3 linked regions of the Drosophila melanogaster genome follow. The protein of the gene in region 2 interacts with the protein of the main gene of each other region in a pairwise test. Each region holds a gene or a part of one and is shown on either strand. Other genes may lie near its edges.

What was found. Proteins that work in one complex are often made in the same cells at the same time.
Region 1: the proteins of CG32354 (region 2) and pHCl-1 interact in a two-hybrid assay, tested with the Drosophila melanogaster proteins (one large-scale study listed by BioGRID).
Region 3: the proteins of CG32354 (region 2) and CG46298 interact in a two-hybrid assay, tested with the Drosophila melanogaster proteins (one large-scale study listed by BioGRID).

The regions. Positions count from the first base shown.
Region 1 is NT_037436.4:15,894,020-15,901,353, forward strand, and holds the start of pHCl-1 (pH-sensitive chloride channel 1), read right to left. Parts: upstream 4,902-7,334; 5' UTR 4,813-4,901; intron 1-4,812.
Region 2 is NT_037436.4:8,414,593-8,425,173, forward strand, and holds CG32354 (uncharacterized protein), read right to left. Parts: upstream 7,614-10,581; 5' UTR 6,475-7,613; coding exon 6,249-6,474; intron 3,268-6,248; coding exon 2,247-3,267; intron 2,191-2,246; coding exon 1,993-2,190; intron 1,932-1,992; coding exon 1,388-1,931; 3' UTR 1,265-1,387; downstream 1-1,264. Other genes in the region: Exo70 (exocyst 70), read left to right, coding at 1-483, 543-865, 935-1,068, 1,124-1,226.
Region 3 is NT_033778.4:10,350,714-10,356,790, reverse strand, and holds CG46298 (uncharacterized protein), read right to left. Parts: upstream 3,424-6,077; 5' UTR 3,276-3,423; coding exon 2,886-3,275; 3' UTR 2,755-2,885; exon of another isoform or gene 2,686-2,754; 3' UTR 2,402-2,685; downstream 1-2,401. Other genes in the region: CG42733 (uncharacterized protein), read left to right, coding at 93-303, 415-497; CG43397 (uncharacterized protein), read left to right, coding at 1,119-1,241; CG12902 (uncharacterized protein), read left to right, coding at 1,559-1,753; CG43201 (uncharacterized protein), read left to right, coding at 3,785-3,856; CG43171 (uncharacterized protein), read left to right, coding at 3,964-4,035; CG43178 (uncharacterized protein), read left to right, coding at 4,193-4,258; CG43200 (uncharacterized protein), read left to right, coding at 4,660-4,725; CG43172 (uncharacterized protein), read left to right, coding at 4,933-4,998, 5,055-5,057; CG46305 (uncharacterized protein), read left to right, coding at 5,066-5,137.

The DNA.
Region 1 (7,334 bases), 7.5 Mb from region 2:
GGACACGCATCACATCGCCTGACGAACGACACACACACACACAGTCACACACGCGCACGTACACATACACCGGGCTTCGCACTCACACACTCGCGTACAGCCGACAAGGTACGACACTTTGAAATGTATATTTCTCTTTTTTTCGCTTTCGTCGTTTTTCTTTTGATTTTGCACTAGTGTTGGGGCGTTAGGTCCTTTGAAACCGCCCCTCGAACAACAAAAACAACAGCTTCTGGCCTCACACCCCCGGTTTTATTACACTTTTTATTTTATTTCGCCTTATTCTGGCCAACTTTTGACGCTTTATGCTTGGCCATGTGATTTGCTTTATTTCTCTTTCTCTCTCTCTGCTTGTTTTTTACGTTTCCTCCTCCTTTGTGTGTTTTGTTCCCACATTCGCAATCGTCTTTTACGATTGTTTTGTTTACTTTGACGTCCTAACTGCCCTGCAATGTATGCTAAAGTTTTCCGATTTTCCGTTTGTACCTTCACTCTGCTGCTGCTCATTTGGCGCCACTTTTTGGCCAAACAACTTTTGTATTTCCTTTGAGTAACTGATGGTCGAGCAGCTTATGTAAGTGGCAGCAATTTGCCAAGCAGTTAGCGGCAAAAGCTGCAAGGAACACTTGCCTTGAGGTGGAAACTTATGGAAAGTGACGTAGAGTCGGTGGGGCACTGATAAAAGTCGGTGGGAGCGACAGTCTGCGTCTTGGGGGAAAATTTATAATGGGATCTGGTAGAGTTGAAGAGGTCGAGCGTAGCTGAAGTTTTTAAAGTAAGCTAAAGTCTGAGCAGAATGGCAGAAAGTTCGTAGATCTGATTTCTACTTTGGATTTGGCTTATTTGTGAAGCTTGGCGTAAAAAAAATAAATTGCTCTAGTAGAACAAAATTGTAAAACCATTGCTCGAACAAAATAAGAATACTAATAAAGAGTTTGACAATAAAAATAAAAAAAGACAGGTAATTGAACAAAGAGATGGCTTGATAAAAATTATATATACTGGCACTGTATTTTAATTAAGGATATCAAACTCAAAATAACTATATCTTAACAAAAAGATAAGTAGATAATTTTTCAATATAGGCTCTCTTACTTTTAAAATCAGCTACTCTCTAGAATTTATAGAAAACAATTTTCCCGAGTTCCTCATACCAAAATCATTATTCTATTATTCATTTGGATTCAACTCAGCCACCTTAAACAGTCCATACAGCCTATATTTGTACACTTGCCTGTTCCCAGCGATTCATTAATAAATAATTTCTAGCACTTCCTATACTGACATATATTTTACATACCCCTTGAATGTGAATGCGAATAAACAGCGCAGGCTGTAAAAATCGTGTTTGTCTTCTGCCTCAATGAACTATTTTTATTTATTTATACACTATATTATTGCCAGGCGTATTTGCGTGAAAATACTGCGCTTAAATAATATGATTTACAAGAAAAAAAACCCGTTTGGCAGTGGACTGAATTGGCATTGCACCTATAAGTAATTAGGGCAAAATGTTTGCCAATCCGAATATATATAGGAGCGTTTATGATGCAGTTTTTGGAATTTTACTATCGAAATGGCCATAAGGAAATAGGTATCCCATTTGCATGCACCGAAGAGATCGTAAATAACCTCTGTCTTGGCCTTATCATCCATTTATTTCGCATCATCTGCGGCAGACAATGTAATAAAAGGGGAAAATTTTTTCGCACGCTCCGAGGAAAGATGTTAAAAATAAACCAAAGCAGTGCAAAGAGAACTGCAAAAATGCGAAGCAGCGGACCAAAGCAAAACCTAGAAAATATACCATGTGTATGGGTAATGGTTGGGCATTTAGCAAGCAATATACCTAATTTAATTGTGTTTTTTGTTAAAACAAATTCACCCGCTCGTCGCTACAGAAATGTTGAGTATATTTCGGTGTTTTTCATCTCATTACTGTGAGGGTGGCGGTCAGACAAATGCCTTTGTTTCAATGTCTGTCCTTAACACAGCATTGGAATGCCGGGAATTTCGCCGAAAACGACATTTTTGTCTGGCAGCCAACACGCCCCGAAATATGCAACATGTCTCCTCGTCCCGCCATCCCTCCCTCCATTCCGTATCCACTTTTCTTCTTCTGTGGCGGAGGCTCCACCCAAGAGCACGCAATGTGGCAAGGACGAGGACATTTCACTATTCAAAAAACATAGTTTCAAAATCGACCAGCGTTTTAAAGGAGTTTCTTTTCTTTTAGCTAGATATAATATTAAATAAATGTTTTTAAAGTAAATGATAATGAAAACTGTGTTTTAATTGTTGGTTTATATACTGTAATTTAATGATATTCCAGTGCACTGCTATTTTAACTTTTAAATGCGTTCATTCACTAATAAAATTTTACTTATGCCTGACGAGTTTTTCTTCATTGATTTTCTAAATTATTTCGCTTTAAATAAATTTTACTTAGTCCCCTTTGCCTGAAAAGGATTTAAGCTTTAAATAAAGCTTGTGTTATTTCGAAAATACCAAATTATCCTTAGAGTGTAGGTCACATACTGGCTGACGCATAAGGCTCGTTTTGGCTAATGATTGACTGACTGGCTGAATGACGGACGTAGTGACGAACTGACTGACTTACGAACGGACTGACTGCCTGGCTGACTGACTGAGGGAATGACTAACCAGCGTGTGTGACTTTTCCCAGTTGTGTGTGGGCTTTCGGCGACTTTGCGTGTAGTTCGTAATTTAAGTAATGTGGGTCGCAGCCTGAAAGCTGAGCCCTGCGTATCCTTGTTGTTGTTGCTAACGCGATTTACCTTCCAACGAAACACGCGCCACGGTTCCGTTACGTTGGCATTAGCTGTTGGCTGTTGGCTATAGCTATACCGTTACCAGTGCTCTTAGCGTTGGCATATATAGAGAGACCTGCGGTTATAGCAGCCTTATTGTCATTGAAGGCAACCCACCCAAGACATAAATTCAATTTCTTTCTGTTCGATGTGACAAGTCGTGAGGAGATCCCCCCTTTTTCGCCCACTTGCCACCCCCAAAATGCACCGCCATCGCCCCTACACTCCACACCCCTCCCCATCGTGTGGTTGTATTTGTTATTATTTTTTGATAGCCACCTTTTCGTGTGTTGCTTTCTCGCGATGTCGTCGCCGCCGCCAAGAAAAGGGGTTCCCATTTTCTCGCCCCTTTTCTTGGTTTCTTTTGCGCTTTCTTGACTTGCTCTTTTGGCTCGACTGTCGCCGTCTCTGTCACGGAGTCTATTTCCATCTCTGTCTCTATGCACTGGCTGCACCTTGACACTAATATTGTGCAAAGTAAAATAAACTTAAAAAAACACAAAAACCAGAAAAAAGGAAAGCAAGTGCAACTAAAAATAGTCGGAGACCGCTAAAAGCGAATTGATTGGCGGCTGAGTGTGTGTGTGTGTGTGAGTGTCTTTTGGGCTCTTTATGCGGACACTTGGCGATTTTATTGTCAAGTTATAATTGGTAATTGATGCCGATACCCAAACTGATTGTGTTATGATACACAAAGCTTGCTCAATGGGCTGATTGCCGGGGATTGAAGCGACTGCAAATGGTTTTTGATTGATTTACCCACGCGGGGTAAGCTGCGATAACTTGGGGCTTTATATAAAATAGTGTAGCTCTGCGGCGGCCTTTCCTAAACTTAAACTCGGGTCTGCGTGTCTGAAAACTTTTTCCAAATTTAAATAATTGTCTTGTAATGTGCTAATACTAGGAAACCCTTTCTTTGATTTGTAAAAATATATTTTATATATTTAATTTTTTTGTTTTATATATATTAGATATATATTTTATTTTATATATTTTAAAATTTGAAAAATACATTTATATGATTTAAAACAAAAGTGTTCTGAGTATTTACTATATTTTTTGCCATTACAATTTCTATATGCTGCAAGCTGTGGTCTCTGGTGCGTATACTTAATATCTCGAATAAATGCTTTTGAGCCGCTTTACTTATATATTTTATATTTAAAACTCAAAATTTCTTTGAAATATTTTCCTCAAATAAATTGTATTACAAAACCAAGTAAAGTTAAGAATTTGAATTGTCGAATTAAGGTTTTTTGAACCGACAATTTAGTTATTTGAAAAATGTAATTAAATCTAATATTCGGTTCTTATTCCTTGACCTTCAAACGGTTTTAAATATTTTTTAGTGCATCATAAACTTATTATCGCTTAGCACGCCAAAATGCACTAAAAGTGTTCAGTTTTCAAGTTCATGCATAAATTAGCAGTGGTCCGTGGGTGCGTATACTTAATTTTCACCGCCAGTACAATCCTAGTTTTGAAATCCCAATTCTTTGCATCCTAATTCTCTAGCTTTAATTTTTAATGACCACTTTTTTGAAGCCACTCAATCTTGCAACACTTATTGTCGCTTCACACGCTCGCTGTGGTTGTTCTTGTTGTTACTGGTGGTGCAGTTGCTACAATTGTTGTTGTTGTTGTTATTGTTGCGGGCGGTGGTATGGGTTACTATCCCGCACCCAACGCGAAGACCGAAAAGAACCCAACACCAGAGCTTTACATAACTCACTCGCTCACTCACTCACTGCAAAAAATGGAAACACTTGGGTTGAGCGTTAAGAATTCAAAACACAAATACACATTTCAATTCGCACATTGCAATTTCCACGCGATTTTCAATCATTTTCCAACACATTGGATTAGGCCCTCAATGGGTTGGCACTTTTGGATATCATTCCGATACCGTTTTCTTGCGAATATCATATATATATATATATATATTATATATATATCGAGGGCGGTGTGAAGTCGATATTACTACGCTGGCTTATTGTTTGGCCCGTCCGCTTTGGTGACGAGTTTTCTCCGCTTCCGCAGTGCTGTTGAATTGCAAACCCGACCCGAACTGAGACCTCAACTGACCAAGTTTTCCTTTTCATGCAGTTTGGCACGCATTCTCGATTCGGAAAAGCGGAAAAGCAGGATGACGAAGCGCGGCGAACACCGAAAAGTCTCTGGTGCGCCGCTTGCTTTTCGATGTCGCCTCCTATTTTCCCGTTCGGAGCCAAAGCTCACCGCCGGCTCTCTCCGAAGCTCCTTGAATTGGGCAGCTTTCCGAGTGCCCCAAAGCTTCACAGCTGATTGCCGCCAGTGCATGCGGCATTTCGACCCCTCGGCACCGCTGCTCCCCCTATGGCTCCCCGTCATCCTTCGTCCGTAAAAACAGCTGATGCCCGAGGGTCAGTCTCCGTGTCGATGGAGACGCGGCGGCTCGGGGGCTCCTTGGTATATGAGAACAAGAGACATCGAACGCGACCTCAAGGTGCCCAAATTAGGAGACAAGCTCCAGAACATCGCCCAAAAATATATGGAAAGGCTTAATGTACACCCCAACAGCCTAGCAAGGAAGCTAGGAACTGCAGCTGTGGTCAATGCTGACCCTCGGACTAGAGTCAAAAGAAGACTCAAGCGACACCACCCTCATGACCTCCCTAACCTGGTTTTGACCTAGAAAGTCTTAGTTTTAAAATTCATTAGAATAATCAAATAAATAATAATTACTATGTTATATCAACTATTATAATTCTCCCTATCATTTTTAGGATTAAAAATCTGTTAGTCTTAAGTAACCAAGACACATTGTAAAATAAAATAATTTAAGCAGATCAAATTAAGTTGCCGCATGGGTAACAGTGCGTTGATCAAATAATAAAAACATCATCGTAATATGGAAAAAAAAAAAAAAAAAAAAAAAAAAAAAAAAAAAAAAAAGGAGACGCGGCGGCAAGTGACGTAATCCTTTGCGGATGCACGTCGCACAGTGGGATGGTTGTGCATTCTAGCAATCAAAAATGATGAGATGTTTATTTAAGATATTTTTTATATTTTGTGATATAGAATGTATGTATTTTTAATTAAAATATTTAAGTAACTTGTAAAAAGGCAACAAATATATAAAATAAGTTTGTTTTTGCATAATAAAAATTAACTTCACAACAAAAAAAATTACTTCAATTAACAATTAAAGTAAATGAAATCGATTTAAATTATATAAAACACAGCTGACTTTTAATAAAATTACGCATACGCCCCATACACCACATAGAACTTCCCATTGGCATTTTATTTAAAACGGCTTGGTTATTATTTGAAATATTAATTTTATTTTTAAATTGCAATTACAATCTGTTGTTGTTTGCTTGTCTGTTCACGGTTTGTTTTTATGCTAAGTGGTATTTTATTTGTATTTATATATATTTCACACATTTTCTTGCAAACAATATCAATAATTCTTTTAACCTAATAACAGATGCCACTTTGTTTGGTTTTTATTTTTATTTGTTTTGTTTGTTTGGTTTTGTTGTTTCCCTTACACTTGTTGGTTCTAATATTTATCTCTTGTATGGTTCGATCTCGGCCTGGCTGCAATTCATCCACCTCAGACGCGATTCCTCAAGCTTAAAATTAAATTACAAAATACAATCATTCAACTTATATCCGAAGATACAAAACAAAGCGCACAATGCAGTATTTAACTTAGCCGTAATCACTTGCAGAACTAATTACAATATTACAATATTATGTTGAAACGCAGGGGAAAACAAAAACAACAACGTAAAAAGCGTAGTACAATACACAACATTACCCTCTAAATGTATTTTAATAAGTATGCGAATCGTTTATTTTGTAATGAGTAATAAACATTCTCCATTGCACTGCATTTGCATCTGAAGTAAAGCGCTTGCCTTGGTGTATAATGCGTGTATATGTATATATATATCGGGGTGTATATATATACTATAGATAGAAATATGTATACGTTGCATATAAAATTATCTCGGCGCAAATATTCGCTGCTCATTGCACAGTGCTAAGCAGTTAAAATGAGTTAGTTGGGTTTGGTGGTGATTATGTTTTTGAGAAGAGCGCGAAAGTTTGGTTGATCATCTAGTATAGGCGTCAGTTAAGGTAAAAAGGTAGGCGTGGCATAATGCAGCATTGAGTATTAGGTGTTTGGATTGGAGTCCTTATAAAGCAATTATCATTATACATTTCCTCGTAGCCGCGATTGGAGTTTAGTTTGCAGAGCGTTTAGTAATGCTTACGTGTAGTGTTATTACGTTTTAGTATCTCGAGTGAAAAATATGATCTTTACATTTCTTATGGTACAATTGTGGTGATGAAATGTAACTTGTATTAAATGCGCTTGTATGTAAATATATATGGATGTACGAATGCTGGTGAGGCATATAGATGTATACTTCGTATATGTTGGGTATGCTGGTAGGACTTTGTTCTTGTATATGAAAGTAAATACAGAATACAATATGATCGAGGTGT
Region 2 (10,581 bases):
TGGCCTATAATGCCATCGATCTGGTGGTTAAGGACGCTGAGGCCATTACGCAACGCATCCTGCGCTGCATTTCCCGCAAGGAGTGGACCTCGGCGTTGGGAATATTCTCCGCCCTAAAGCGGGTTATACTGCTGCAGCCGGATATTGACCGCACATACGATCCTGCGCAAAGGGAACAGTTGAAAAAAGTACTAAAAAAGTTGCAGCACACCGGTGCCAAGGCATTGGAGCATTTCCTGGACGTAGTCAAGGGCGAATCGAGCACCAATATTGTGGGCCAAAGCAATGTTCCAAAGGATGCCACCGTGCACGAGCTGACCTCCAATACGATCTGGTTTATTGAGCACTTGTACGATCATTTCGATGTTATTGGTTCCATTTTGGCACAGGATGTCCTGTACTCCACGCAATTGGACACCATTTTGATGAAGAAGGCGCTGCCAGTCGAGGAACGCAATAAGGCGCTCTTGGCGATTTACATAAGTGAGTGGCAACAAGATCAATTGTGCGAACATTTTTAAACCACTATCTATATTTTGCAGAGAAAGCTTTGGCCGAACTGAATCTTTCCATAATGAACAAGTGCGAGCAGTACAATGACCAGGCCACCAAGCACCTCTTCCGACTAAATAACATTCACTATATCCTCAAGTCGCTGCAACGCTCCAATCTTATTGATTTGGTCACCTTGGCTGAGCCTGAGTGCGAACATAGCTACATGGAGATGATACGTGAACTGAAGGCTAGCTATCAAAAGACCTGGTCCAAGATGCTGGTCGGCATCTATTCCTTGGATGAACTGCCCAAACCAGTGGCCGGCAAGGTCAAGGATAAGGATCGCAGTGTGCTCAAAGAGAGATTTTCTGTAGGTTTTTATTTTTAAAATAAGCTAAACTTTCTTGATTTAAAAAAAAACATCCTCTATAATTTCCAGAACTTCAATAAGGACTTTGAGGAGGCATGCAAAATCCAGCGGGGCATCTCCATACCCGATGTGATCCTGCGAGAAGGCATCAAACGTGATAATGTGGAGCACATACTGCCCATCTACAATAGATTCTACGAAATGTAAGCGTATATAGGGTTTATCAGCTTATACCTAACCATCTTGTATCATTTTTAGTTACTCTGGAGTGCATTTTAGTAAGAATCCCGACAAATACGTCAAGTACAGACAGCACGAGATCAACGCTATGCTGAGCAAGCTCTTTGATGATTCGGCTTAGATGTTAAATGCAGGCCAGGCTTTAAGTGCATTCCTTGTAAGTTCGTTGGGGGGCTTTAATTCAAACTCAATAAATATCGTTTTAAAAAAAGTACAATACAAGACTATAGCCTACAAATATTAAATGCCAAGTGAAATGAAGACGCCACGCATACATACGTCCTAGTAAAGGAAGTTAGTGGATGGTGCTTCGGGGCGGCCACAGGCGCCGTAGTAGTTGACGTTCACCGTCTGGTTCGCCCTGCAGTTTTCGATCTCCAGGAAGCAGTCGTTCAGATACGTTTTATTGTCGCTGCCGCAAACAGGCTCGAATTCCCTGGGACAGATGCGGGCACATCCTTTAAGCTGAAAGGCGGCAAGGCAGCGCTTCAGTGGCACCACGAAAACATGCTTGCCACAATTCTCCTTGCGCATGTGGCACTCGGACTTGTACAAGTTGTTGTCCGATCCGCAGACGAAACTTGGCGGCTGGGCATCACAATCCGATTCGCAGTCGGCGGTTAAAGCGCAATTCTTTAGCGAAACGGGCACCACACGCAGATCGCAAGTGCGCCGCTTGAACTCGCACATGGAGGCGAAGGTGTTGCCATCCGAGCCGCACACTGGCTGCTGTTCCAGATCCGCCCGAGTACAGGCATCCCCGCAATCCTTGGTGGGCGAATTGAGATCCGTGCAGGGACCAATGTGGGCCAGATTCACGCCGCGTCTGAAAAGAAGTTGAAGAGCTAGATCCATGTCCTATGGATGATCCTATCATGGATACTCACAGGCAGGTGGCGTGGGCCAGTTCGCACTCATTGTTATAAGTCTTGGCGTCCGTGCCGCAGAGCTTGTCATTTCGCTTCGAGCTGAAGATGGAACCGAACAAGCTATTGAAGTCCTTGCAAGGAGGCAGCTGTTTGCAGCGGGTCAGTCGATTCTTGCACTTGTCCATGCTCACTTTTTGAATGGACTTGCGCTGTGGACTGAAAGATAAAATTTTAGTCTGGTTATATTCCATTTTTATCTCATCCAAACTCACCCGCAATTGAGCATTTTGAGTTCACACAGCGAAGAGTATATGTTGCCATCACTGCCGCACACGTACTGCGACGAGGAATCCGTATCCGATTTGGGACACTCCGTGGGACAGGCATCGGAGGCTCCGTGCCTCTCCTGCGACATGCAGTAGGATAAGGGAACCTCAAAGACGTGCTTGCCGCAATTGGAAGAGCGCATCTTGCACGGACTGGCATACAGTCTGCCATCTGATCCGCAAGTGGGCCTCGCCACACGCCAGCAGGATTCCCTGCACATTCGTGTGGACTGACAGTGCTTCCGGCTGGTTTTCACCACACCCTGTCCACACGTCTTCAGCTTCATCTCGCACGTGGAGTTGTATACATTGCCATCCGATGAGCAAACTGGTCCATCCTTCGGCGCACTGTTGCAGTCAACCGGACAGGACTCACGCACGGCACTCGTGTTGCTGCAGGGACCCACATGCGATAGCTTCACTGCAGCCAATCCCACGCGACACGATTGCACCCTCAGCATGCAGCGATTCAGATAGGTCCTTCCGTCTGTACCACACACTGGATCCTTCTCCGTGCTGCAGCGGTGCTTGCAGTCCGAACCCTTCGACCTCTCGCAGCCATCCCGCACGTCCTTGATCAGCGACACTCCACTGCGGGAGCAAGTCTTCTTGCGCAGCTCGCAGATATTCGCATAGATCAGACCATCGCTGCCGCACACGGGCTCAGCTCCCACGGTGATGCTCGGTGGACAGGATCGAGGACAGTTGCCGGTGCCGGTGTTACTAGCCCTATTCCGTCTGCCCATCTGTGACAGCTGCTGTTGCTCCGTCTCCTCGCGCAGCAGCGACTCCAAGGCAGCTGCCGCCGCTCCGGGTGCCTGCATCAATGTGGACGACAGCTCCGGTCGCGCATCCTGACGATAGTTGATCAGCAATGAGTTGGGCGCCGCATCTGCACTGCGATAGCGGATAACTGGCGCCTGCGCCGGCAGCCGGATAATCTTGATGGGTGAGTCTGTCACAGCGCCTGTGGATGGAAATGATTTTAGAATTTAATTGGTTTCTATCTAGAAACTTAATTCTAAACATTTAAAGCAAGACAGTAGTTCCTCCTCCTCTGTTATATGAACTTATTAAACAAAGCTTAGTAATAATTACTACTTCCCCGCACGTAATGACCGGTTGTCCATCGAATTTTCCCAGGGTAACTCTGTTTCGAGACCGCCAAATGAAACTTTCCCTTCGCATTTTCCACAGCTCTTTAGCGGTGGCATGCGGAAGAGTCAACTGTGGGCATACAAATGTCAGATTAGCCGCACGATCATAGGGCATTTTGCGCAGTTGTGACCCACTGTGTCCATGCCGCCACCCGCCGACACTCCCCCGCATCCGAGACCAGTCTCTGATTCTGGAGTGATCGCATGACCGACTCAAGTAACCAGCCATTAACTTGAATAATTCTTTCCCTTTTTACTAACGGCAACGGCAAATGTTACCCGTCTTCAAATCTCGATTCCAAGTAAAACGACACAATGGCATTTATGTTTTGGCTGTGGTTTGAGCACAGCTAATACACTCGCTTCGTTCATACGGACTATCAGCGACCTCCATCTATAATTGTTCATGCTAATCCCCTCCAGAAATCGTAAGCTTAATCTGTGCTAAAAACTGCAAGTGAAATTTCCACACTAATTGCCTCCGGCGCCGAACATTTCTGTTGTCTTTGGTCGGATGTGGAACTGCTGGTTTAGTTTGGGTTGATTTGTCCATTTTTCTTATTTTTTTTTTTTTTTTTGTTTGCAAAGAAAGCTGTGAGAGCCGCCTCCGGAGGAAGCACTCAACTTAGTTAAAGATATACGAACGTAAATAGACATACCCAACAGCAGTAGAAAATCTATTAGCGCTCTTTGAGGCTGCCACACGATGGTTTGGCTGCGATAATTGAACCCACGTTCATTATTCCAATTTGCTGCTGCCGGCCATAAAGATGGAAATTTCAACATCCAGCCAGCCAGCCAGTCAGTCAGTCGAGCAGACGCATTCTCAGCTTAATGGACTCGGATGCTTCTCTGGCTGGATGCGAGTCCGAATCTGAATCGGAGGCATCGGCATCCAGAGGAGCCATTAAGCGCGGAGAAAATTAAGCGGCGTTAGGAATTAATGCACATGTAAACGATCCGCTGGAATGGTCAGAGGCAAAAGCCGAGACCACAGCCAATCTCATTCAGCATTGCAGCAATGCGACCTCAACCGCCCCACCCACTCTCACCAATCCTGCACTGGCAGAAAAGTGTGGTACTAGTCCTGGGATAAACTCAGAATCAAATCACTCATGCAAACTAATGGTACAAACTTATACAACACCATACACCATACTATTTTGCATTTTAAATACACCTCTGATTTACTGATTTCCTTTTGTTCATATGTTCTGCTGATTTCTCCCAGTGCAGGTGCATTTTCCTGGCCTCCAGCGAATTGCTGGCAGGCTCCTGCCTATCGGATGCCATCAATTGCAAAAAAAAAAGGCGAGAGAAATAATAAAAGCAGCCACCGTATAATTTTCAAAAGTGGAAAAATCCAGCAACCAACGCACTGCACTGCTGGGCAGGGACTTTTGCATGATATATACTGGGTATGTACATATATATATGTACATATGTACATACATATCTATATATGCACATGGAGCACACCATGTGCACTCGGTTTGCTCCGGTTTGGTGTGGCACAGTGGCGAGCAGCGACATGACCAAGCCCATAGATGAATGAATCACGGCGCCACTGATTGGGGCCATTAAAACATATATGTACATATGTACATATATATGTGTATATGCATGCGAGCATATATCACAGCATCCAAAACTAATTGATCTTTCACCCATCAATCTCCGATGAAGTGCGGTTATCAATTAGCCAAACGATCGCGCTTACAAGTCAAATAAATCATTTCGCTTCGGGTCAACTTTAAACGATGTAACCCCCCCAATTGACCCCCAACCCTTTCCAGCTCGCTGCCACTGTGCGGTCAGCTTGATTTTCCCCCCCCCCCATGAGCTAGCGATTCGCCCCTCTTCCACCAGCCCCCCCCCCCCCCTACGTTTTCAGGCCCCCGGCTTCTGTTTGGCCCCTTCGTGCTTTTAATGAATTTATACGAATGTTGGACAAATTGTGCACGAAAATATTTACGAGCATGTTGTGCGTCGAGGAGTGAGTGCCTCAAACTGGGGAGTTCGTGGTCTAGGGGGCGGTGGGGGGAGAGGTGTTGGGGCATTGGAAGCTTCGCGCTCGTGTATGTGTGCCAGTTTACATTCACTTTGTGCGGAGTAGTACCTTAGAAATGGATAGTTGAATAGCTGCTGCGACGGCCTTTCTACCACCGCACAGCTGTAGGTCTTAGATCCGGACCCCGATTCACCTTCTCCGTTTCAACACCCGGAGAAATTAGGCGGTAATTGAGACGGCACTCACTGGGACTTGTCCAGTCTGTCTGCAACTTTCATTTAGCTCAAGATCAGTTGCCGTTTTCCGCTGAAGAACTCGGGTTTCCCTAGAACTCTGTCCGCAGTTTTAACTGCAACTCAATAACGATGTGATAGTTAGGAGAAAGTACATTTAGCAAGAGGAAAACTAATACCCTTTGAAACTTGTATTAGGCCCTTTTAAATGTAATGTTAACTAATCTGGATTTAAATAGAGCATTCTTTACTTTAGCAATGGCTTAAGAGTTCCATAGTCAGTTTTCTCTTTTATGATTATATTGGACTTAATGCTCTGCTTAAGGAACCTAGTTTTATCTTAATCTGATTTTAATTTAGTTAGGAGGAACTTTGCTGAATCTGAATCAACGTATACTTCTTTAGCTGATTCATTTCTTGAGGCAATTAAACAATTTGAATAGTGAGAATGCCAGGAAAGAGATTCGAATGATCTAAGACTACTTCCTGTGACTTTCTACTCAACGTGTAGCACCAATTTTGGGATTTCTCGCAGTGTACGACTTACCACTGGTGGTTGACGCAAATGCCGCCAACGTGAACATGGCCAAGAGTGCGCCAAACAGCTGTCGCTGGCTCTTGGTGCCGCCAAAGCTGAGGCCCAGACTGGGGCTGTGGTTATGGCTGCATCTGGCGATCTGGCTTGGAGTCTGGCCAAGTCCGTGGGCCTGTGTTTGGGTGGCGTTTGGGGCGGGGGGCTGCAGATGCAGATGCAGATGCTGTTTGTGGTGCATTTTCGCTGGCTGTCTGCTGCACTTTTCCTATTAGACGCTTGATGATTTGTTGTTGCCGCTCGGATCGGATGCGTGCGTGATGTGAGACTGAGGCGTGCGGCGCTTTCGCTCGTTAACAATTGAAATTGAAATAGTAGCAAACTTTTATGCGGCTGCGGCTCACGGTGGATGAAAGTTTTTTTTTCTCTTCCTCGGTCGATCTACCAGGGAGATAGAGATATAGTGGTGCTATATAGTATATGGACTATATAACTGCTCGTAATGGCGCTTAAGCTGTTCGAATTAACGGTAATCTTGCGGTCATTTGGGCCTGGCCTGCTCTTCTTCTTCTTCTTCCTGCTCTTCTTGTTAACCGATGTCGTTGTGTTGCCTTCTCTCTCTCTCTCTTTAGCGCCCTTTTACGAGTTCATTCGTTTGCCTATCAACATCAAGCTCCCGTGTCTTACGCTGTCTTCTGTCTCTTTCGCTTTTCCCTTTGCCTGCCGGGCACTTGACCTTTTCACACAATCGCACAATGGAGCATAATTTCTTTTTTATCGCCTTGGCTTTATGGCTTTTTCTTGATGTTTTGTGGATTTTTGCACGGCCCGCCTTTAATTTGATTTCAATTACTGGTTCTGGTAAGGCTTTATTTTCCTTTTATTTGCTTTTTATAACGTTTTTCTTTTTTTTTTCGTTTCTATTATGCGCACAAAACAATTCGCTTTTGTCCGTTACTCTTTTGTCGTTTGAATTTGACTTTGATGCGCGCTCTTCGAGTTTCGATTCGCATATGAAAAATGATCTGTCTTTCGGATTTCGATGCTGCTGCTACTGTTCTGCCTCGGCCGATGCCTCCGCTGACGCCTACTGCGACGCCGACTGCGACTGCAACTGCGGCGATTGCATTTCGTATTTCATTTCTTCTTTTTTATTGTTCTCGAATGAATGAATGAATGAATGGGCACTAACACACTCGCGCTCGCATCCGATTTGTACAATTCGTATTGTCGTCTTTGCCTCTGTTTCTTTTTTCGCCTTTTTAACTTTTTTCTTAGGCCTTTGTTTAGTGCGCTCTAGAGTCGCTCTGAAATCTCGGAAAGCTTGGGCTCCAAATGCGACTGGAAGGTTTGACAATGCGCCGACGAATGGCAAAAAATTTGCAATGAAAAGAAATTTATATGGGTGAAAGGCAGCGCAGTCGGCGACGGCAGAGCAGAGCATCCAGCGCTGTTGTTGTTGCAGCTACACTCGAAACAATTCACTCATCTTTTGAATACTAAATCAAGAGTATTTCCAGTTAGGACAAAAAGCACCGCTTTCTTTAAGTTTTTAAAGTTGAAAAACAATGAAAAAATAAAAATATATATGAATAATAATAAAAAAGTTATAATGTACAATAACAGCAATGGTGGATTGTAAAAGGATACAATTCAAAGATATGCATGTCTGTGCAGTTTCAAACTTTCAAAATGTAACATATATTGAGAGCAGTAAAGAGAGCAAGTAAATTTAAGTTAAAAATGTAGTCTAGTCTTGATCTTTTTGAATAGACCTATATTTCTTTTTAAACTTTAACGGTTTACTACCACAAGTTTTTCGAGTGCATTGTTGGGTGCCGGGGCATATTGATTAAATGGAGTTGTTGGTATTTAAAATAACAACTTGGTCATGTCTGCCTGGCCTAATCGGTTTTGCGTACAAATTTAATTTGCCAAAAGTGGCAGCAAAATGCAGCCAAAAAGGCGCGCCGCATTTGAAATTATAACTCACACACTCGATTCGATTCGATACGATACGATTCGATCGGATCAGATGCATCCACATCCACGTCCGTGCTCCCCCAACATCTCCGATGCCCAAACCCAAGCCATACCATCCCACATCCAATATACAATATTCACGATCCGAGTCCACGATTCAGTTGCAGTGGCATTGGCATTGGCAGTTGCAGTTGCAGTAGAAAGTGCAGCCTGGAAGCTGTGTTTATAGACTTGTAGACTTTAAAGCCATAAATTTTACGCCTCAGCGGCCGTTGCGAATAAGGGTCACACACACATAGCCTACTATCACCTTGCACAGTGTCCTGATGCCAATTTAAGGTGCATGTTTACTAATGCATTCACACAAAAATATTTGATTTTGGCATAGTTTAGCTATTAGAGCTTAGACCTTATCTAATTGTCTTAGGTATTATATATTTGATATAATAATATTTTAGTTAAGTAATTCTAGCTTATGTTAAAAGGAATACAAAGTAATGCTACCCAAATAAATAACTTGCTAGTAACATAAAAAATGAAGTTATATTTTAAACTATAAATAGTAAGTAAATAAATGTTCTTAAGCAAAACATAATCCTTAATCTTTCATGGTTCGGGACATATGAGCTTTAAGTTAATATTCAATCTTTTTAAGAATTTTAATGTTGCTTTTTTTTCTTACGAGTACTTTCCCTTAAAACTTTGTGCAATAAATCATCATTTTTGGGAAATGCGTTGTGGGTGCTTAAATTCCACATGTTTTGGAACCACTGTGCGCTGGCGGTGGGTGGAGGAAGGTGAAGAAGCAGATCATTGGCGGCGGAGTCGCGTGCATTAAAGAAAATTGAGTGGAGGTGGAGGTGGAAGTGGCCGTCGCATGGGAAAAGAGGTCAGTAAGTGAATGTTTACAGTTAGCTTTTTGGGCAGATCAGAGAGAGCCAGGTCCAAAACAAAACCAAACAAAACAAAACAAAACATAATGCCGAGCCGATCTCAGCTCGACGGAAAAAGCCAAACTGCATATGACAGGCGTGACTCGGCTTTAAGCGCCAGTGCCCAGAACTAATACCCCAAACACGACGAGCTGCAGATCCCATAGAAATGAGGGGGACAAACCGCAGGAAAAGACCGCCAAAAAAAAAAAAAATAAATAAGAAACTGAAAACAGAAGAGCAAAATTTAATTAAAAGAAAGCCAGGCTGGCGCGGAGACGTAAAAACCTTTTGGCAGCCGTGCAGTTTCTTTTTTGGCCAAATATTTGACGGCGCTCGCCTGCGGTTGCCAATAAAAATGGAAAGTGAAAATTGCGGCTGCAGTGGCAGTGCATATTAAAAAATAGAAAGATAGAAACAGCCGTTTGTGTGCGAAAAGATGGCCATAATAAACGATAGAAGGCCAAAGCCACGCACCAGTTCTGCGGGTTTTCTTTCCATCTAATCACTGTTTTTTTTTTTTTCCCGATCGCCAACCAAAACCAGTGCGAGTATTATATAAATAATGCCCGGCATGCTGGATCGGCCGATAAACGGCGGAAATTATATGGCAAGGGGAGAGTTCGCGCCTCTGCAGGAAAAATACGTACATACAAAGTATATCCTCAAAAGGAAAGAAATACTTTGTATGGCGCATCAATTTCCAACACAAGTCGCATTTAAGGCGATAGTTGATCGATCATCTAAGACTTAAAATTAAGTTGATGTATATGATACAAGAAATAGTGCCTTCCTATGTATTGTACTATATTTAATTTATAAAACGTGAGATTCCACATATTTTCATGAAAGGTTTCCTACAAAAAGTAGATTAAAAGCATTTCCTATATATATTTAACACAATTTCATTAAACAAGCAGCAACTTCCATTGTGTAATAACAATTTAAAATACTTCCTTTCGAGGAGGAAAACTGTGAAAAAGAAAATCGTTACCAATAGATTATATTCTGTAAGTCTATTATTTCTAAACATATTCCCAAAATGAATATTCAAATTATTTTAAAAATTAGTTTATTTAATTTAATAAATTTGTAACGAATTTTTTCAAAAGCTCGCCATTTTGTAACGGCATTTTACATGGGTCAACGATGACGTCACAGCGAAATGCAACCCTTCGATCAGTGTGACCAGCCGTGCGAGCTCGTTTGGTATTTACTGGCGTTGCGGCCGCGGTCATACCGAGATTTCATTGAAAAAGTCGAAAATATTGTGTGGGTTTAAAAAACGCAAACGTCGCCGAAACGCGTAGCCCCAAATGCACACGCCAGGTGCAAGGATAAAGCCGTGAGGATCGGGCACCCAATCGGATAGATCGCGTTTGGTTAGCTTGTGGGGGAAAATCGTACTTAAGTCACCACTACTACTACACACG
Region 3 (6,077 bases), on a different chromosome or scaffold from region 2:
TCAGCCTTATCACATATCAAAATTTTAAAAATTTTAGGTTTCCAAAATTTGTAAATTTTATACCCCGATTAGCTAGATTTTTATTCCCTAAGATGCGGATGCTTTGCGACAGACTCTCCGCCCTGACGGCTGGTGCCATGGTCGGCGTTTGGTACGCCCAGAACTTCCCCTGCGAAAATCCTACGGATGGAGGCGACAAAGATAAGGCCAAGGACAAGGCCAAAAGCACGGATAAGGGAAAAGAGAAGGAGAAGGATAAGGGGAAGGGGAAGGATGGTGGCCAGGACAAGGGCAAGGAGAAAGGCAAGGAATAGGGATAAGAAAATAGCTAAAAAGGGGTGGAAAAATCACACCATTTAGACGATACAATACGATACGTATGTGCAAGTCCTCTTAAACGAATTTCTCCTCTAGTTAGTCCAAAACGTACTAGTAGACATGAGCAAAACTCCAACGTCGACGATGCAATTGGCTTGAAAAGGAAAAGTTTGAAGTAAATGGCCGCTGATAACGCTTCCGAAAGAGCTATGTTTATATGGTTTTATTATCACATGCTCTGAAGCAGATGTTAACGATTTTGCATTTAAATAATTATACGAGAATGCGTATTGTATCATCTTAAACATCGTATCTTTAATTTTTGGGGATAAATGTCAAATGACAATGGCTTAAAGCTCGCTGCGTAAATTCGTATTTACTTATTTTGGTTGTGCCCCCAACTGATTTGAATTTCGCACAGTGCTGCATGCGACAAAAGTACGCAGCGATTTCAATAAAAGTTGCTCACCGAGGTGGTGTAATGGTACTCTAATTTCGCATTTTCACAGCCCAGGGACACACGTAATCCCACCTAATTAAATTGTCCTTTGAAATCGTTCGGTTAATTAAGTGCGCGCCAACCCCAATAATTTATATTGTGTAGAAAGTGCTTCAAAGCAGGCTGTGAGATTTGGGTTAATGGGCTTTGAAACTTCGTGCCGACACTTTTCAGTTATCCGTTTTGGCCACAGCAGCAAACTTCCATGAATCTGGAAAAATTCAAAATTGTTGAAATTTAAAAAATCATTTGTTGTTCTGAGGACACCGACGTCTTCCTTTGGTTATCATCTAGCAACACCATGCATTTGATGTGCGAGCGATTGTCTGCGGTTTTTGCGGGCGTCCTAGTGGGTTTGTGGTACGGTAAGACCTTTTCCGAGGACGAAAAGCCCAAGGAGAAGGGCAAGGACAAGAAGAAGTAGACCGACCGATCACTCGCAAGACTGGCAGAAATCAATACGATCTTCTTAGGTGCGTATCTATTGTGCGAAAATGAGCCATAAGCCGCAAGATTATGTCTTTGATCTAGTAGTCGAGTCGGCAAACTTCGAGCCACTTCAACGTCCTGTCAACGCGGCAGCTCTGACATAGCTCAGTGTTTATTTGGCTTTACAATCAGTATATCAGACTTTCGACGTACACAAAATTTATAACGTGTTTGGTTTTAATTTAACATCCATCAGACAGCGATTCCAGTTTTGGTCTAAATTGTGGCAAATCCTGTCGAGCTTTTGCAGCCATGCCCTGTTGTAAGCGTACCGAGGTCCGCAGGGTGTGCCGGCCGATGCCGTCGCTCCTTGCCAGGCTCAACTGTACGCCGTGCAACCGCGTCCTGTTCTTCGTCATCGGGGTGGGACTGGGCGTGCTCTTCGTGCGCAACAAGGACGACAAGTCGGGCGGCAAAAAGAAGGACGAAGGCAAGGCCAAGAAGTAGGACTGACCGATCTGCCATGCCCGGCGGTAATATCAATCATCCAAGCCTGGCACTAGCTAATTGAACCTGGACTCATCATCACCCATGAAGTTACCCAACCGTTTGCAGCGTTAGCCAGGGAAGACAAAATGCCATTCGATAAGTTTGTCCGCCGATGAATGGAATGGAGAGGAAATTTCTCAGTCGATAAATTTATCTAAAGAGCAATTTGTCAATCGAACAATTAACTGCCACATTTAATACAGGTTTATTCGATTGATCTATTCTCTATTATATATTCCTCTGTTGAAAATGCTATAAAATTGGTGCTGTACAAGACTTACTGTGTTTTTAATATGGGCTCATTATTCAAATCTGTGGGAGCAATTGTTCGCTAAATGTTTGTAAATAGTACTTTAGTGACATGATTTGATTATTTCATTAATCGTCCTGTAACAAAATTTGCAGAGCACCTGATCGACTTCCTTATTGATCTTGATCAAGAAACGCGTTCTAATTCTTTTTCTTTTAAACGAAACTACGAGTAACGAGTTATGAAAATGAACATCGAATTTACCGATAACTAAGTGCCTATTACAATTAAAAATTGCAATCTTATGCTTTGTATAATAATTAAAGTCTGATTGACCAACCACAAATATTCTCAAATTTTTGTTGAATAACTTTAGATAAATTTACTAATTTTGGGTCCTTGCAGAGGGCAATACATTTGGTGTGTATTCATTGTACAATTTTTAATAGAATATCAACGTATTAGAAAGCCTTAGCGGTAAGAACATAGATCATGATCATATCTCAAAATCATCACGAACCCAAAATGTAAATTTCAATTTTCGGGTGATGTATAATTTTAAGCCTGATATGGTTATCCAAATTTCGCAAAGGCATTTCCTCTCTCCAGTTAAATATCCCATCCGATCTTGTTACTTGATCTGGAATTATAAGGGTGGACACTAGATAGTAAATAAAGAAGCCTTCCATCAACGCGGCAATGGACTGACCAATAGTTATCGTTAGGTATGCCATATAATGCACTTGAAAATTTTGAAGTTTAGAAACGATATGGATTCGATGAGAATTTTGGGGGAAAACATCCTGCTCCTTGACATGTCCGTTTGGGGGTCTATAGTCGTTACTTGCCCTCCTTGCCCTTCTCTTTGCCCTTGGCCTCCTTCTCCTTCTTTTCCTTCTCCTTCTTTTCCTTCTCCTTCTTCTCCCTCTCCTTCTTCTCCTTCTCCGCCTTCTCCTTTTCGGCCTTCTCTTTTTCCTTCTGCTTCTTCTCGCGCTCCTTGGCCTCCTTCTCCTTCTCCTTGGGCGATTTCGCGGCCTCCTCGGCCGCCTTCTGGGCCTCCTTCTTCATATGGTCCCAGAATAATCCGATGCCCGCCCCGATCATGAAGAACACAAAACGGTTGCACGGAACGCAGTTCAATTTCTGCCACAAGGTGGGCGGCGGGCGACAGGGAGGCGGTGGCGGAGGACAGCATCGCGGAGGCGGGGGGCAGGCGGGCTTGTCGCACATCTTCAAAGGATTATGGATTAGATGTCCGCGCAATCACAGGGTCCCTCTAATAACGTGTTAATTTTACGCCAAAAAAAAAATCAGAAAAATGATGTTAGCCGAATGGGAAATTTAGAACAGTGGGGCCTGTGTTGCCTTTGGATGTGAGTTAAGTATTTGACGTTTATTTCGTAAACTACTTGATAAAACCTAACACTCATTATGCCTAAGGTTTAAGATTACACCAGTACTTTCTTCGACCGCAATCCTTTCAAAATGGATCCTTCTTTAAGCATCCTATCTTCTTCTTTATAATGTCTAGGCTAAAGTCACAATCCTTTTTTCTAATACATCTGAAAAACAAAGCCAAAAACAAAACGTTATGTAAAATGCATTTTTCTAAAATTAAAATCAAACTCCTTAGTCTCTATTTCATTGATAGTATTGTCGCTTTAAAGTGCAAAATTCTAAATTAACAATTTTTTCAAAAAGACCTAACAAAAAGTACTGATACTTTAGGGCTGAAAATTATGGATAACTCGTGGTTCATCACTTTTATTGTAGGCTGTATTGTGGGGTATTTGATAGGCAAGCATAATTAGAAAAAGGTAAGAGCTCCTTTGCATTTGTGGTAGGCTTTTTCAAACCACTCAATTTTAGTTTATTTTAGGCTTTACAAGTTCCAAACCCACTACTTTCGTTTTATAAAATGGATGTAGATTGGGTAATTACATTTCTAGCTGGCTGTTTGGTGGGATACGTCGTGGCCAAGAATACCTGAGGATAGGCAAGAAATCTTTGGGTAAAGTTCGCCTGAAATCTTATGCCATCCTGAAATTCAAAATCCCGACTGGACTGGATTTTGATTGGGAAGATAACATTTGGTATCAAGCGCTTGAAATCATTTTCTTACTTTCGAAACCTAAGAAAAAATCAAAATGACGCACGTTATATCCTTCGCCTTGGGCGTGATTATCGGAATGATGAGCTGCCGAAAGTGCTAAGCCTAAGCTCCCAAAAAGAAAATTATAACTTAAATCAATTATGAGGAACATTGCATATATTAAAATGAACAATAAATAAAATTTAAACTTTCGTATTCATTATATTTTTGGAGAATTGCTTGAGAATGGAAGATTTGCAAGCAGTACAGCTAGTGATGTAGCATGCAGCAAGCTCAGTGCCATAGCAGGCAGAAAAGGGACTGGAAATTGGGATTGATTTTCTCAATGACCATTAAGTTAATCAATAAGGTAATCAATATTTTCGTAAGCATTGCTAAACATGAATACTTATTCATTACCGTATCAAATAAGTTGGCTTTTCTAGTAAAGTCAGCTCATAACGTATTCGTTTTGAACTATTTAGGTCGCTCGAACACCTAAAATTAAAGTTATCGGCGGAAATGGAATGGATTCTAATCTTTATTATTGGCTGCGTTGTGGGTTATCTTATATCGCAGAATACATAGGAGCCGCTTTAGAAAATTCTTTCAGCAAAATTATGAAGGTAAATTACAATAGAATCAAGTACGCTTGGTTTTTTCCATTATAATAATGTGCTTCAAATTAAAGTAATCAGTTTCCCATCGACAGTCAGAACGAAGTGTACGTTTTGTATGCTCTTAAATAAGACAAATTTTCCGTTAATATCTCGGGAATTCAAGTTTCATTAAAATATGCAGCGGTTTATAACATTCGTTGTTGGTGGCATCGTTGGTTTCCTCATCGCCAAGAATACCCGCGTAAGTCTCTGTAAATTCCATTCGTTATCTTGTGATATTCAAATTCCCTTCCTTAGTAAACACAATCATGTCCTATGTAATATGCTTTGGGATGGGCATGGTTTTTGGCATGTTCGTATGCCGCCGTTGTGAACCCTGAATAGGAGGAACCCACGGATAAATTAAGACCTTTTATCGAAAACCAGATGTCCCGAGAACTATATTTAAAATGAATTTGGAATAAAGAAATTTGTCACAATCATACTGTATTGTTGTTTACTAAGCCTAATTGCTGTTTCTTTTCTCTGTTCCAGGTAATTAACCCTTAGACAAAAAACATTTTATATTGATTCGTAAGTAAACCTTAGGAAATAAACTATGCGGGTTAGCTTGACTGTTCCCAATATAACAAATTTACGGATAAAATCCTTTTCACAGTTTTCAGTAGATAGTCGCTGGGGATTTAAGCCAAGTTGAACGCATTTATGACTTTGTGAAAATTTTTCCCACCTTTCCTTTTAATGGCTGAAAAAACAAAAGGCAGCGGCAATAAATACATACGTCAGGATCTGAGTTGGGTAAAACTTTGCCAACTTAAAGGAAAGGAGAAAACTTTCCACTTCCTCAATCTTTTGGGGCCACGAAGGTGAGAGTTAGAGCAAACTTTAAGGGCAACCAATTTGACATTTTGTGTGGTGGCGGGGGGCTTGGTATCCCATTGACCACCTCCACCTGGCCATTCATTATGATTGATTATTGCGCAAATCCAGGGTTATACATATGTATATGTGTTCTGCGTCGTCAGCCGCACAAAACGTTTAACAAATGAGAAGACAGACGACCTCCTGACACACAAATGAACTCGTTCGCCATTTCAATCAGTCTTTGGGCCCCCAGATCGAGCCGCAGCATCCGCATAAATAAATATTTTATGAACTCGGCACCAGCACTCCAGATCCATTTCCAGTACGGTTAGGCTCGAGTGCGTCGCTCTGCATAACTTAGGCCGGGATGTTTGTGGCAAGTCTTATCTGGGTAGCAAACAAAGGTTGAACTCAGCCCGGTCCCCTTTTCCCACGATTTCCCCCCGGTTTTTCATC